Linked DNA regions of Drosophila melanogaster. The gene in region 2 interacts genetically with the main gene of each other region. Each region holds a gene or a part of one and is shown on either strand. Other genes may lie near its edges. The genes, in order: aux, or and bchs.

Evidence for each region.
Region 1: of or (region 2) and aux, changing one enhances a phenotype caused by changing the other (phenotypic enhancement), as found in Drosophila melanogaster (one study listed by BioGRID).
Region 3: of or (region 2) and bchs, changing one enhances a phenotype caused by changing the other (phenotypic enhancement), as found in Drosophila melanogaster (one study listed by BioGRID).

The regions. Positions count from the first base shown.
Region 1 is NT_033777.3:4,208,614-4,214,725, forward strand, and holds the start of aux (auxilin), read left to right. Parts: upstream 1-3,169; 5' UTR 3,170-3,199; intron 3,200-3,294; 5' UTR 3,295-3,302; intron 3,303-6,112.
Region 2 is NT_033778.4:23,963,646-23,969,443, reverse strand, and holds or (orange), read right to left. Parts: upstream 1,506-5,798; 5' UTR 1,425-1,505; coding exon 1,356-1,424; intron 1,292-1,355; coding exon 1,200-1,291; intron 1,139-1,199; coding exon 936-1,138; intron 879-935; coding exon 667-878; 3' UTR 501-666; downstream 1-500. Other genes in the region: CG10904 (uncharacterized protein), read left to right, coding at 1-301; CG34213 (uncharacterized protein), read left to right, coding at 1,752-1,786, 1,838-1,928, 1,982-2,275; Alas (aminolevulinate synthase), read right to left, coding at 2,796-3,172, 3,317-4,559; Fmo-1 (Flavin-containing monooxygenase 1), read right to left, coding at 4,902-5,069, 5,134-5,669, 5,727-5,798.
Region 3 is NT_033779.5:5,905,401-5,909,000, reverse strand, and holds the start of bchs (blue cheese), read right to left. Parts: upstream 1,833-3,600; 5' UTR 1,714-1,832; intron 689-1,713; 5' UTR 657-688; coding exon 366-656; intron 312-365; coding exon 66-311; exon of another isoform or gene 1-65.

The DNA.
Region 1 (6,112 bases), on a different chromosome or scaffold from region 2:
TACAAAAACTATTAGACGAATATTTGGAAAACGGATTTATACGACCAAGCGACTCGGAATATGCATCGCCTATTGTTTTAGTGAAAAAGAAAACTGGAGACTTACGTATGTGCGTCGACTTTAGAAAACTTAATAAAATGACAATGAAAGACAACTATCCTCTACCTCTTATAGATGACTTGTTAGATAGAATGAATGAGAAAACTGTTTTCACCAAACTCGATCTTAAAAACGGTTTTTTCCACGTGCATGTTAAAAAAGAATCAATAAAATACACCTCTTTCGTTACACCATTAGGCCAATACGAGTGGCTGCGAATGCCATTTGGCCTCAAAAACGCCCCGTCTGTGTTCCAAAGATTTGTTAACAAAATTTTTGCTGATATGATTAGAGAAAACAAAGTAGTAGTATATATGGACGACATTCTATTGGCAACCGAAAATATAAACGAACACTTAGAAACGTTGAAAGAAATTTTTAAAAGATTAGTTGAAAATAAACTTGAATTAAGAATAGACAAATGTGAGTTTATGCAATCGAGTATAAAATATCTTGGGTTCATAATAAATAAAGACGGCATAATGCCCAATGACAAAGGAATCGAGGCAATAAAAAATTTCCCAATACCTAATAATGCTCATACAGTACAAAGTTTTTTGGGATTATGCTCATATTTTCGACGGTTTATAAAAGATTTTTCTAGACTAGCTAAACCATTGCATGACATTCTAAAAAAAGATAAACCGTTCAAATTTGGTAGTGAAGAAATGATTTGTTTTAATATGTTAAAAGATAAATTAATACAGTCACCGGTCTTAGCTATATACAACCATAAACACGAAACAGAATTGCATTGTGATGCAAGTTCTTCTGGATTCGGTGCTGTACTTATGCAAAAGAAGGAGGACCAGAAATGGCACCCAGTTTCATTCTTTTCAAAACGGACAACAGATATTGAATCAAAATACCACAGTTTCGAGTTAGAAACTTTAGCCATTGTTTATTCGTTACGTAGATTTAGAGTTTATCTTCATTGGAGGACATTTAAAATAGTCACCGACTGCAACTCATTAATTTTGACCCTAAGCAAAAAAGAGCTAAACCCTAGGATAGCCAGGTGGGCTTTAGAATTCCAAGGTTATGATTTTGAAATTGTGCATAGGGCAGGTAGCCGCATGCAACATGTTGACGCACTGAGTAGGTGTACAAATATTATGGTAATACAAACAAACAGTTTCGAAGATAATCTAGTTATATGTCAAGGGAAAGATACAAAATTAAAAGAAATCAGGCAATTGTTAGAAAACACAGAAAATAAATTGTATGAGATGAGAAATGGTATAGTTTACAAAAAGACAAATGAAAATAGATTGCTGTTCTACGTTCCGATAGAAATGGAAGAACAAGTGTTATACAAATATCACAACGAACTTGGACACGTAGGAAGAGACAAAATGATAGAAGCTATAATGAAAAACTATTGGTTTCCAAATTTAAAACAGAAGTGTAGCACACATATCAGCAACTGTTTAAAATGTATTTCATTCAGTCCCAAAACAGGAAAAACAGAAGGATTTCTACACAACATACCTAAGGGAAACAAACCTTTTGAAATAATCCATATTGACCATTATGGTCCAGTAGACTTGGCTAGACCGAAGAAACATATTCTAGTGATAGTAGATGCATTCACAAAGTTTGTCAGACTATACGCAACAAAAACTACGAACACAAAAGAAGTCATACAATCGTTAAATGACTACTTCAGAGCATACAGTAGGCCTAAGTGTATCATATCAGATAGAGGAGCATGTTTCACGTCTGGCGATTTTGACTCATTTTTGAAAGAATGCAATGTTAAACACATAAAAATTGCAACAGGATCGCCACAAGCCAACGGTCAAGTTGAACGTATAAACCGAAGTCTTGGTCCAATGATTAGCAAGTTAATTGAACCTGATCAAGGTCTACACTGGGACTTAGTCTTAGAAAAGGTCGAATATACCCTGAACAATACACTACACCGCAGCATTAAACAGTATCCTAGCATAATGTTATTTGGGTTACAACAAAAAGGACAAATTATGGATGAGTTAAAAGAAAAAATTGAGGAAATTGGAGAAACGATTGAAGAAAGAGATTTAGAAAGTATTAGAAATAAAGGCGAGGCAAGTCAGAAAATAGCACAAGCATACAATAAAGAATATGTTGACAAAAAACGAAAACGATCAGGAGTGTTCACAAAAGGCGACTACGTCATGGTTAAAAATTTTGACTCAACAACAGGCATAGCTAAGAAGTTAATTCCAAAGCATAAAGGACCCTATGTCATAAGCAAAGTTCTCAAAAATGATCGCTTCCTTCTGGAAGATGTTGATGGATTTCAAATTTCTCGCAATCCTTACCGGGGTGTATGGAGCATACAGAATATAAAACACTGGCAAAGAAAAATTAAGAGTCTACAAAATAGAAAGTATAATTTGAGAAACTCTGTACAAAATAGAAAGTATAATTTGAGAAACTCTGTACAAAATAGAAAGTATAATTTAAGAAACTCTGTACGAAATAGAAAGTATAATTTAAGAAGCAATTGTAAAACAAAGAAAACAAACAAGAAGAAAAGAAAACCAAAAAAATGTTTAAGACCGTTCAAAAGTATCTCCACTAAGAAGAATAAAATAAGAAACAGGACCCTTAGCTTTAAGAAACGTTAATTGTTATAAAATCCTACGATCGGGAGATCTAGTTGTCAGGACGGCCGAGTTGTAGTAGGCTGCTCCTTCTACCCTCTTCCTTTACTCTTAGTCATACATACCTAATTATACATAGCCAATCTAGTCATAAGCTTATACACTCATACACCCATCCTTAACATACAAATATTATCGAGAAACTTATCGACTAATCGACTCGCCACTCTGCAGAGAGCGCGGCAGTCAGTCGCTGTTGAACCAAGCTAAAGGACAGATCAAAATAAAAGAGACACGTGAAATTGTATTAGAATATTAACTTCTGTAAACGGCGGCTAAAATTGTATTTTTTCTTATAACACACTTCAAAATAATTTCAACAGCCCGTTCATAAGGTACTAAAAAAAGATTTTACCATCCCTTTCGATGTGTTTTTTTCGATATAACCAGTCTCTGCCATCCATTGCTTTTTGTTTGTGCCGCAAGCTTCCAGTATTTATAAATTTCTGGTATCAAATTTCTGACGATAATAATAATAATATAATAATAATGGTTTTAATAAATTTATTAAAAATTAATTAAACTGGTTTCTTCCGCAACTTAGCTGACTTGGTATTAGAAATTAGGCGATAATCAACAAAAGTGGAAAACAAAAGTTAAGAATAGCTGTTAAAATAATGACGATTACCCGCTTCAGTGCTATTGCAATCAATATCCAATAAATAAGGAATGCTGGCTTAACAGATTTCCCGCGTGTTCTCAAATAAATTATTTACAGGCCAGGTATGGCTGCTCCTCTGCAGTTTGGCTGCTTTTGCGTGATGTGCTGGGTGCGTTGGGCTCAGAAAGCGAAACACCAAATAAATTGAAACTTTCGTTTGCACGCTACAGTTTTTACTTTGACGGAAACGATGCTGAAACGTCGAAAGCCGCATTTCCTGAGTAACAACGTGCTCTACCTAAGATCATTCATCTTCTGGTCGAATGAAACTGGAAAGTTCAACATTCAAAACAGAAGTAATCGATACCATAATTTGCATTAAATGAACCACAAATGAGAGATGAAAAATAAGATGATAAAGATTCGTCTAGAGATCTTTCTGTCTTTCTATTCTGCTGGGTAACGCTTTCTGTGAGCGGTCAATGCGACGATTACCGGCAATTCGATTTTCTCATCGGGCGTTGGCAAAGATATTACGCATACGCCTCGGTCACGCTAACGACAATCCAATAAGTAACTAATAAAGGAAAATTGGCCGACAAAAAGCTGAAAGAAACAATTAGGAAAATTGTAAATTGCGTTTTCAACTCAAACGCGGCCGCTAAAGTTCACGTCCGCCGCTACTATTGCCGCTGACAATGGAGCTCTGGGTGGCTAACCGAGCATTGCTCGTCGACGCAAATCGCTGCGCTCTGCTCGGCAAAACTTTCACTTTCAACTCGACTCGGCCAACTACATCGCTTTGCGCCTCTTCTCCAATACTCCTGCCTAAATCCACGCTATCGCTTCTTCCTATGACTTGGCTTGCTTGCAGGTGGCCATGAACCCTATTCCTAAAGATTACGCGGTCAGCAAATCGATTTATTGCTAGAAATCGGGACAAGGGCACAGCAAATACCTGTAAATTCTTTAGTGTTTTTCTTTGTTTCCAAAACATAGTTGCCAATTTTTCCATGATAAAATTGATTAGTATTAACCGATTTATTTTTATTTAATGATTGCAAAACTGTGCTACTAAATGCAATAGGTAGTCTTAAAATATTTCGGAATATCGACAGAATCTGGCAAGACAATTGTGTTAATTGTTCCCGAGACGAGATGTCATGCTGGCCAAGGTACTTCCTTAAATTGAAAATTAACTTCGCAAGACTAAACGTTATTATCGCCCTTTGTTCAAATTTGTCATGCACATAGAAATAATTACTAATTGTGCTAATAGCTGACACTTCAAATGAAAATGAAACATTCATTCGGAGGTTTATAATTTTTAAAGAAATCGAATAAAATGTACTCCCATTTGGACAAAACAGAATTTGTTTCGAAGAGCTTACTTTTACAATAGGTAGGCAAGCTTTACTTTCATTAGTATTTCAATAGTTTTTCGGAGAACCATTTTAAATAATTCTGAGAACACACTAGGCAAACAAGATAATTATACCACCTAATAGACCATGCTCATTGACAATCTCGATCGCATACCGATTCGACAAAGTTACCCTAAGAGCGTTAAAACTAGTTCCGAACTTGAACTGTACGGACTTTCAGGACTCTTTTCAGCCGTTCCGTCCTCTCCGGTCGGGAGACTTTGACAGAGTTGACACTGCAGTTAAATTTGGACAGCGGTCCGTCTTTTGGGTCACTGCTTACCGCTAAGAATTACGTCACTAACGCCATCTGAAGATTGTAGCGATGAGTAAGAGGCGGAAGCCAAGACATTCATCTCGAGCGTAGCCCACTGTTGCGGTCATAAGCGTCGCATAACAGCGGCTTGGGGACGAGTGATGAAATTTGAAATGCAGTCTGCACTTATAGTTTCCCTTGATTCGATTCGAGTCATGCAGAGAGCGATGTCTTTTGCATTCGGAATCCACTTAATCACGGGCTTACAGCCACGTTGCTTAGAATAGCTGCCCCGGCGAAACCAGCTCTCTCTGTGACCTAAAGAGGGGGAGGCTCAATTGGGCTTCCATTAACTTCTTGGGGCCCCTGTCAGGTGTCAATCAAGTCGAGTTTGCTCTGCAACGCGTCGGATATTGTGAGGCGGGCATACAACAAAGACTGAATTTAAATGGCGGCCACGCCTGCAATCGCTCACGCCTCCAGCTGGAGAGGTTGAACCCAAATCAAAGGGGTCGGTGGCACAAGTACACTGCGAGAATGAATATGATTCTTTCGGGGCTCAGCTCATACTTCAATTTACACGTCCCAGAGGGATTTGGACGTGGCCAGGGCTCGACCGGTACAGATATTACACATCAGCACAGCTACTTGGTGCTCCCCCTAACTCAGATTTTTTCCCGTGTAGCCCGCGTAGGCAATCGATTGTAATCGACGACGACGACGTTTTCTGTGCCTGCCAGCTGGTGCAGTGGCTGTCGCCACTGCCATGTGCGAAATGCAAATGCGAGGGGCGGCTAACGAAGCTAGTGCTGACTCGACCCGTAATATTTTACTTTTACTTTTTATGATTAACATTTCCCACCCAAGGTGGAGGGCCCAAAACGAGCTCTTTACTTATCCACACATTCGTATTTTCGTGGCGGACGATGCGCAATGAGATGAGAAATGCCGAGATCGTAACTTCCAAGATAGCTCGCCGCCGCGATGCCCAGCGTTAAATTATGTTTTTGTCTTTTAATTAACATTACTCGTGTTAGTCGCTTCCCTGCGCCCACCAACCCCCTCCCACTCGCCTCCCTTC
Region 2 (5,798 bases):
CATAGAGAACGATGCAGAAATCTGTCAGCCTCCGAAGGTCAGCGAACCCATTCCTCCGATGCCTCCTGAACCTGCGCCGTCTTCCAAATTCGTTGATCCAAATCGAACTGTCGAAGCTCCAGCTGCTCCCTCTCCCTTCCACTTACCATTAAGTGGTCGTGATCAATGGGACGCATTTGGCGAACTAATCGCCAGTGAATTCCGTAACCTGAACTCTGAAGTTTCGCGCAAGAGGCTGAAGCGGAAAATAATGCAAGTTATGCTGGAAGTCGGCGAAGAAGATGATCTTACAAACAGTTGATTGTAGAATTATGAACATGTTTAATACAGCGGACACCGTTTTAGGTATAAATCTTTAATATATGCAGCACACAGATCATGCGAATACGTCATCGCAAGACACTTTGTATGTACATTTTAAACCCCATTCGATATAGAACGGAAGTGGTTGAACTTCGCATTGTTAAGCTATCAAAATCGTAAGGCTCGTTCTCGCTACTGGTAATTCATTTGCATTTTTATTATGGTAGGGGAGTTATATAGAGTACGTGGGACCTAATATTACGGAACAGTCGACAGCTGTTGGAAATTCATGAAGGACTGCGAAAAAGCACTAGATTCAACAGATTACAATTAGACGAGAGAGTTATATCAGACGCACATTTGTCAGAACTTAAAGTCCTTAATGGCCTGCGGCAGATCAGGTAGCTTGATGTCTTTAATCTGTTGCGGAATGTTCATACTCTTCACGGCGCTCACAGCTCGGGCAGGTGCAGCCGAGATGCCCGCTTCCTGCTTGACGATCTTGTTCTGCTCCTCGATCCTGGCCATTATGTCGTTCATATTTGTCTGCAGGACCATTCCGCCCATTACCAGTTCTGAAACGAATTCATGATAGCTGAATCTGAATGGATTGCCAAAGTAGCTTTCCCAACCTGAGAGGATGTGGTGGACGGCATCGGCGTGGAATATCAGGTCCAGCTCACACACGTTTTCGAAGCACTTGTCGAGGGTTTCCACGAACACCTGAATCAGGTCCAGGATTCCCAGTTCGCTCTCCGAGGAGTCCACGCAGAAAACGAAGTACAGCGTGGCATAGTGTCTGTAGATGAGTTTGTAATCCGATCCGCCAATCAAACTGTTGGAGGAAAGAGGTGCTTTAAGATATTCCAGGAATTTGCGGGAACAATATTGCTCACCTTCCGCCCTCCAGAAAGTTGCAAACATTATCGTCCCGCTTGGACACCAATTGGAAAGTCTCTTTGATTATTTGTTGCTGCAGGCTTTCATCCTACAAATGATAGTGACAATTTATTATGAACTAGATTATATGGATTATATGTCGCAGTACTTACGAAATACTGATAGAACTTCGATAGCCGCGGCTTCCCGTGATTGTTAAAAACGAGAATGGCTTTTATCATCTCAACTTCTAAGATAAGTCAACAAAAAAAATGAAAATGTTTAAACTGCCAGCTGTTTTGCTTTTTCGACGAGGGCTGCAAAATCAATACTTGGTATAGCATCTATAATATCGATATATCTTTATCTGACGTATTTATTTCAAAAATCTAATAAGAATCATGCATATTTTAGAAAGTTAGGGAAAATATATTTTTTAAAGCAATTTCTTAAATCGGGTGTTAAAAATCCGTACAAAAAAAAATTCTATGGATTTCTGATTGTTGCCCATCTCTAATGCCTTTAACCTCGCGGTCTCCGATTTGTTTATTTCTTATTTTTATTGAATTATGAATATTTTGACAAAAGTAAAATACAGCTGCAGGTACTCTGGGTTTTATTTTGTAACTCCCTTTAGTTAACGTATAGTTTGCAGGGTGAGCTCGGTTTTAAACAGAGATGTGAAGCAGCACGGAAAGCAATTCATGTTTGATACGCGGGAAGAAACTTCTTGGAATTCAGATGAGGTATCATCCTAAGATTTGGAAAAAAAGAATATAACTCCAAACGGCCATTTCAGGGAACCCCCCAATTCATTACCATTAGCTTGGAGGAGCCACAGAAAGTAGCTGGATTTAGTTTCCAGTTCCAAGGCGGATTCTCTGGCCAAAAATCCGAACTGATCATGTACTCCGCTGACGGAGCCCAAGTTCACCAAGAGCCATTCTACCCAGAAGATATCAACTCCCCACAGCTTTTTCAGATTGCGGAATCAGTCCGGGAAAACCCCTGCTCAAAGCTAAAGTTCGTCTTCGAGTCCAGCACCGATCTATTTGGTAGAATCATTGTTTACGATCTCCAGCTGTTCGGCTAGTCTCTGACCCAATAGATCTTACTAAATGTGTACAAAATCTTCTCTAATCAAAGTGTATAAAATCGGATCATTATCTATTGTGGTATTATCAAAAACATTGGTCCGTAATAGGATGGTCATGGTTATCAGCAATAATTGTGCTGATTCAGCCTGCCACTGCTGAAATTGATATGCGACTAATTTCATATAAATATTTCAAACTAGGTAAGCCCTTTAAGTGCTTACGAGTGTGGATCAAGGTTCAATGAAAATATTTCCACGCGATTCCCCAATTTGAATATCATTTGCATGGAGCTGGCTCGAAAAACACGCAACTTCATAGCGAAGGTGACACTCTAGTCCATGTCTTATCACCCCATATAGAAGCGTCATCAATCAGCTTAGCCCATTCCAATTGAAATTTCGTCATTTATGTATATTGCACCAAAACCATTGTTTATTTGTCCAAAACCGCACAGATAATTTAGGCATAGCTTTATGATTCGAATGCTTCATTTATAGTCGTGTTTCCAAGAGGCAACTATGCTGCAAGCGAGATCTCCAGGCGAGGGCAGTTGGGAATGCCACACTCCAGATCCGGGGAGGTGTCCTGGTGCCAGCAGCTCTCCGAGTTGCAGAACATGCATGCGTTGGGCGAAAGAGGGACGTTTGTAGAGAGGTCCACCATTTCCCACACTTTCTTTAGATCGGTAACCAGGGCGTTCATCATTTCAAAAGTGTGGAACGGGGTGGGGGCCAGCCGCAATTTCTCCTGGCCCCGGGCGACGGTTGGGTAGTTAATCGACTGCAGGTAGTGTCCGAATTGTTCGATCAGCACGTTTGAGATTTGACTGCTCTTCAGAGGGTCTCCGATCTTAATGGGAATGATGTGGCTGGGCGTTTCTTCGACGGGGAAACCTGAAATGGGGCCAATTATATATGCAGTCAGTAAACTGAAAGTTAAGTGTCTCTTTCTATATTTATAGCCATCACTTAAAATAAAACGAAAGTGCGAGAATAACCTTCAATTCGAGTTACATAAATGCCAGAATTACGTCTTACCTTCTCGCTTCAGCAGGCTCTTCAGGTAGGAGACGTTCCGTTGGTGCAAGTGGCGCAGCTGGCGACCCTCCTCCGATGCCAGGATATTGACGGCCTCCAGGGCGCCACACAGTACAGTCGGCGGTAGTGAGGTGGTGAAGATGAAACCGGCCGCATACGACCGAATCATGTCGACCAGGTTATGGGTGCCAGCTATGTAGCCACCAATATTACCGAACGCCTTGCCCAGGGTGCCCGATATGATGTCCATTTTGTGCAGCACACCATCCCGCTCACCGACCCCGGCCCCGTGGTCACCGTACAATCCCACGGCGTGCACCTCGTCGATGAACGTGATGGCCCCGTGCTCGTGGGCCACGTCAAGCAGCTCCTCGAGCGGGCAGATGGCCCCCGTCATGGAATGTACCGTCTCGAATGCGACGATCTTGGGCACGCTTTTGTCCGTCTGCTTCAGCAGCTGATGCAAGTGGTCCACGTCGTTGTGCCGGAAGATGTGCTTGGGAACCCCGCTGTTCCGTATGCCCATAATCATGGAAGCGTGGTTCCCTGCGTCCGAGAAGATCTCGCACCCAGGTAAGAGCTTGGCGAGCGTAAAGAGAGTGGAATCGTTGGCCACGAAGCACGACGTGAACAGCAGCGCAGCCTCCTTCTGGTGGAGCTCAGCCAGCTTACTCTCGAGGCGCTCGTGGTGAAGAGAGTTACCCGAAATGTTCCTGGTGCCGCCAGCCCCCGATCCGTGCCTATTGAGCGCGTCCTGGACGGCCCTCTTGACGCCGGGGTGGGCGGACATTCCCAGGTAGTCATTGGAGCACCACACCGTAATGGGCTTTTCCGTCCGCTCCGAGTACTCCAGGGCGTGGGGGAAAAGCCCGTCGCCTGCCAGGCGGTTCACCTTCTTGAAGACCCTGTAGGAATGGTCCCGCTTCTTCTTCATGATCTGCTCGTTGAAGAAGCGCTCGTAGGGAAAGGTCTCCTTGGCGGATGCCTTGCCAGGATCGGCAGAGGCGGGGGCGGAGACGGGAGCGGTGGCGTTGGCAGTTGCGGGGCCACCAGCATTGGCGTGGGCGTTCGCCCCCGTCGAGTGAGACCTTGTAACACTTGCGGCGACGAGTGAAAGTTTCTTCTCGCCGGATACCAAGGTCTTCCCAACCACGGGACAGTGGCTCCCGTAGGATTGGCACAGCGTCTCCGCGTAGTTGCGGATGAAGCTGGCGGTGAAGCGGTTCAAGAACGGACACTGCATGACGAGGCGCTATTCCACTTTTGAAGACCCGACCTAAATCAGCGAACTTTGAAAGCGAAGTGAGGTGTTCCGAAAATTATGCAAGAAGGTGATTGCGAGGAGGCGGGCGAGTGTGGCCAGAGCTGGTGAATGTGCGCTGCCCGCAATCAGCTGTTTGGAAAAATACCAACAAACATGTTCAAACAAATGTTTGCCGGTGTTCAAAAAGTTTTTGTTCGAGAATAAAAGCTCATTTTTTAAACTGTTGTTTTGGAATACAAGAATTGGAAATTTATTTTATTTCGAAGGGAAGTCCAAAAACGATGTTTTGGAATCTAATGCTCCTATTGATTGATTCAGGATCTAGTTGAGTTTAATGAATGTCTCGTCGTCCAGAATCGCGAAATTGTCCTCCCGGAAGTGGAGCAAATTCTCATTGAAGCACTTGCTGCTTTCGTTGTGCAATTTGGTCATCACAGGCTTGATGTTCTTAACTCCTGCAGTTTGCGACAAGTCCGTGAAATAGTCGATCTTGATAATAAATGAGAATAGAATTAATAACCAGATAGAGAAGTAAAGCCAACTTGCATCGCACTTGCTTGGGACCCAGCATGTGGGCATGGCGTTTTCTTAGTCCCTCCGCCCACAGTTTGCCCATCCTATCGCGGGTGTCCTTGAGCATATCCTCCGTGGACGGCAACTCGTTGGATCCGTTGTAGTAGCTCATGATGAACCTCGCTTGGATGTCCATCATTTGGGCGGCACAAACGTAAAACGGCAGTCCGATCAGAGCCATGGATGGGTTCCTGATGTTGATGCACTGCTTGTACAGCTCCTGGACGTAGTTGTCCTCCACATAGATGCCCGAGTCGACGGTCAGGAAGGGAAAGGCGTACTTGTAACCTGTGCAAAAGAAGACGGTGTCGAACTCCTGGTACGATCCGTCCACGAAAAAGGCTCCCTTCTCATCGAGCTCCCGCACATCGGGTTTCTGCTGTACGTTCTCGAAGAATGAGTGTTGCCCGATATCGGTCAAGTGGTGACTTATGGTGACCCGATCCGCCGTTCGGGAAATGATGTTCGACAGGTCCATGCCACTGGGACCAGCTCCAATGACCAGAACGGATTTACCTTGAGCAGAATGGAACACCATGTGAAATAACCTAATAGAAGTTATTCCTTAATTACCTTCGAAAACCTCCCTACTTCTGAAGTCGTGGCTGTGCAGGAACTGCCCTTTAAACCTTTCCATATTCGGAA
Region 3 (3,600 bases), on a different chromosome or scaffold from region 2:
TTGTTTTGATTACGTCGATGTATTTTTACCATAAGATACTATAGCAGTTTATAAATGAAACATACCTGTATGAGAGATACGTCTCCATTGGCCAACAAATTGAGGGTAGCCAAAAGCATCCATCCGCTGCTGGTTTCCTCGGTGGTTTCCACCTCGAGAAACTTGACTATGGCAATGGATGCCGCCTCTGTGCTCTGGTTGGAGGCGCGCTTGCGGATTTCGCTGACCATGAGACGGGACACTTGCTGGCAGAAGGCGACCACGTCCCAGAACTTTTCGCTCATGTCGTTTGACGGACAGCTGCTGAAGACCTGTAAGAATGGGGAGTTAGTGGCCTATTCCTCCATACCGACTGATTCACTCACTTTGCAGAAGAGGGGCAGCATCTCGTAGAGCTTGTCATCGCGCTCCTGTTCGCTCAGCGGCTCCCGCGGATGAGTGTATTCGTTGAATAGCTTCTTTAGCGTGGTGAGGCTCACTTGGACGCGGGCGTCCATCAGCGCCTCCTCCGCATTCCGTCCATTTGCAGCGGTCGGTGCACCAGCATCCGTTCTGCTGCTCCCTGGTGAACTGTTGTTCGCCGTCGAGGTTCCGCTACTGCTGCCGCTGACGCTGCCTGCGCTGGCCGCTCCGCGCAGCTTACGCATTACATTCATCTTTGTGTTTGTTGATTTGCGGTAAGATTAATCTAAAAGAGAGAAAATTAAGTTGACTTAATACAAAATATAAGACTAATCTAATGGCTGTACTATGAGGAATGTCATTGATTTTTTTGCAAGGGGGTGGCACTTTCTACATGTGTTTTAATAATGGTGATTCACTTGTTTACAATGTTATGCCGTTTAAAAAGATTATATATTATTCGATAAAGGTGTAAAAAGATATTTCATAGTATTTTGAAACTTTTTACTGCTGTAGTTTAATGAACTTTCCCACTTTCATGCAGGTTTCAGTTCAAAACGTGTCGCTTCGCATTTAAACATATGTTTCCATAGAACCTGTGCTTATTGTAGATATTGTATCTTTTGAACATTGGAGGTGAGATATTTTGGCGATTTATTTGCACAGCACTGACACTTTCAATTGAGTGGCTTCCAAATCACAACCGCGCACAGTGCAGTTGGCGTTATGGCTTGTTTTCGCAGCTATTCTATTTCTGCTGCCGCCGCCTTAATTAGCGGCCGCTGGAGGTGAATCACACGAAAAGTGCGATCATTGTATTCGGTGCGAGTATTAACTTTTCGCGAGTGAATGAACGTTGCCTCTGTCGCCGACTCGATTCGATTCGTACGCCTACATAGCGAGCAAGCGATTAACCGATAGTGGTTATTATTCCATATATTCGGGAAATATTTACATTTTGTGCGAGACAGCTGTTCTTGGTTTACTTATTGCGCACTTGTTTGTTTACTCCAACTCCCTTTGAAACTACCGACTATCTGACCTCTCTTTTCTGCCAACGCATTTGGTTCAGCTAACGGCCGCTCTGTTGTTGCTTTTTCGTAGTCCGCTTAGCGCTCTCTTTCGTGTCGCACTTTGTTTTGCTCCAGTCAATCGCGCCTCACGACAATTTTATTGATTTTTCTTCCTCTCTCGCGTACTCTCACTCGGCCTCTCTGCCCGCCACCCACCCTTGAACAAACCAGCAGATAGGTCGAATTTGAAAATTTTCACATGCACTTTTCCGGCTTATTTCGTGCAGCCGTCACTTACTTTTGCTATCCGTCGCTAGCATTGTGTTTCCCGTGTGAGTTTTCACTATTTTGGGCCCTAAATGCACTCGTTTTACATCTTGTTTCACGTATGAAAATATGAACCAAATTTTCTCCAGCTTTTCGTCTGTACTCTCTTTTCGTTATTCTGTCGAGTGTTGCGTAGCGCTGCCAGTGGTATCAGCTGTTCACATTTTCCACCACCGCAGCCAGTGCTCATTAAGACCAAACGCCAGTGCTGCATTTTGAATTATGATCGGCGGTCTAGCTTTGGCATTTCAAATTCAACTGTACTGATAAGCAAATAAACAAGACCGATTTGTATTAATCTACTTCATTTTATTATTTTTATTTAATACAAAATCTTTTGTATGTCGCCAACGATGTGCTTATCTTCAGATTGTATATATTAGATCGCTTACTAAACTAATGGCAACAGTTTAATAGAACTAAACTGATTTATCTCATAAACTTAGCATCTAAATTGATACTTAATTAGCACTTACTTAATGTTCATGTGTGCTCATAATTAAGTTCATTATTGTTAATAATATTATATGAGTGCTTTCGCATCTCGGCTAACAATTGGTATTCTTAGGCCATTGGCCATTAATTTCCAAATTTCTCTCTCGCCCAATATTCGCATGAGTGTGAGATTCTTTATTGATTCTGGCTAGGGGTTATTAATATTTGTGTTTGTACTTACAGTTGTTATAATTGTCAGCATCAACAGATAGCTGTCGGATATGACAACAAATTTATTTGCATATTGATTGAACGAACACCCGATGGCGAACTTCATGCGTTGATAATGATGCTATTTGCTGACTCATTTGTGGCAGAGAATGCTGTAAGTTTATTGGGATTGATTGATTGGTAAGGCCATTAAATGCCACGCACGTCCTTCTGATCTAATTTCCCTGTACCCGAAACCAATTCGCTGTGTCTCCCCATTTTAATGCGGATAAAATTTCGTTTTTGAATCAATTAGGGGTGCAAAAGAATAAAGGCGTGTCGTGCTAAATATTTAGTTAGTAGTTATCCCCATGACCAACTGCCTCGCTCCCCAAAAATAGTTTACCTTTGGGCGTTGGCCCCGCCACGCCCACTGACCCCTTGCGTGACTGCCCGTATCCACCCGCTCCCACAGTCCTCTTCAGTTTTCCAGCTAGCCAGCCAGCCACATAAGCTAAGCTCGGAGTTCCCTAATGCTTGTTTATGTGGGAAAGCGTTTGGGATTGGCACTTCTCCAGGTATTATATCTTCCCACCCAGACAGGTACTTTGCGCACTTTCCCGCCCGACAAACCCCCCACCGCGATTTGTGGGGCAGGGTTGTGGGGAAAGTCCTTTGTCTGCGGCAATATTCTAATGGATTTTTCCGTTTCAGTTATAAATAGAGGCCCCCTACAACTGACAAAAACGGGAACAATATCTCAGGTGCCAAGAAGGGGTAGACCAGTAAAATGATATTCGGTAGATTGATAGCGCACTAAAAAAAAAAACTCGTGAAGTTGGCGCGAACATTCTATTTACATACAAACTCTTATGAGTAAAGTGACATCAGCCTATTTCATCCGCTTAATCTTCCTTTAAAGGTGAAGTGCAATACCCAGCAAAATTTTAAGTGGATTTTTAAGTGAATTTTCCGAGGACCGCATATGCTGCTCGAGGCGTTTCCGGAAAATTTAAAAGTGTAACCCCAAAAATCATTTGCACAGCATTCATGGGGGACTCATTAGGCGGGGCTTCCCCCTTTCTGTCGGAACGAATAACTTTTATTTTTCGCCCCAGAGTCCTCCACTTCATCACGACGCTGTTGTTGACAATGAGCGAAACATTTGCGTATCGAAATTGGCAAGACCCCGGGCGGCGGCCAAGGATATTCC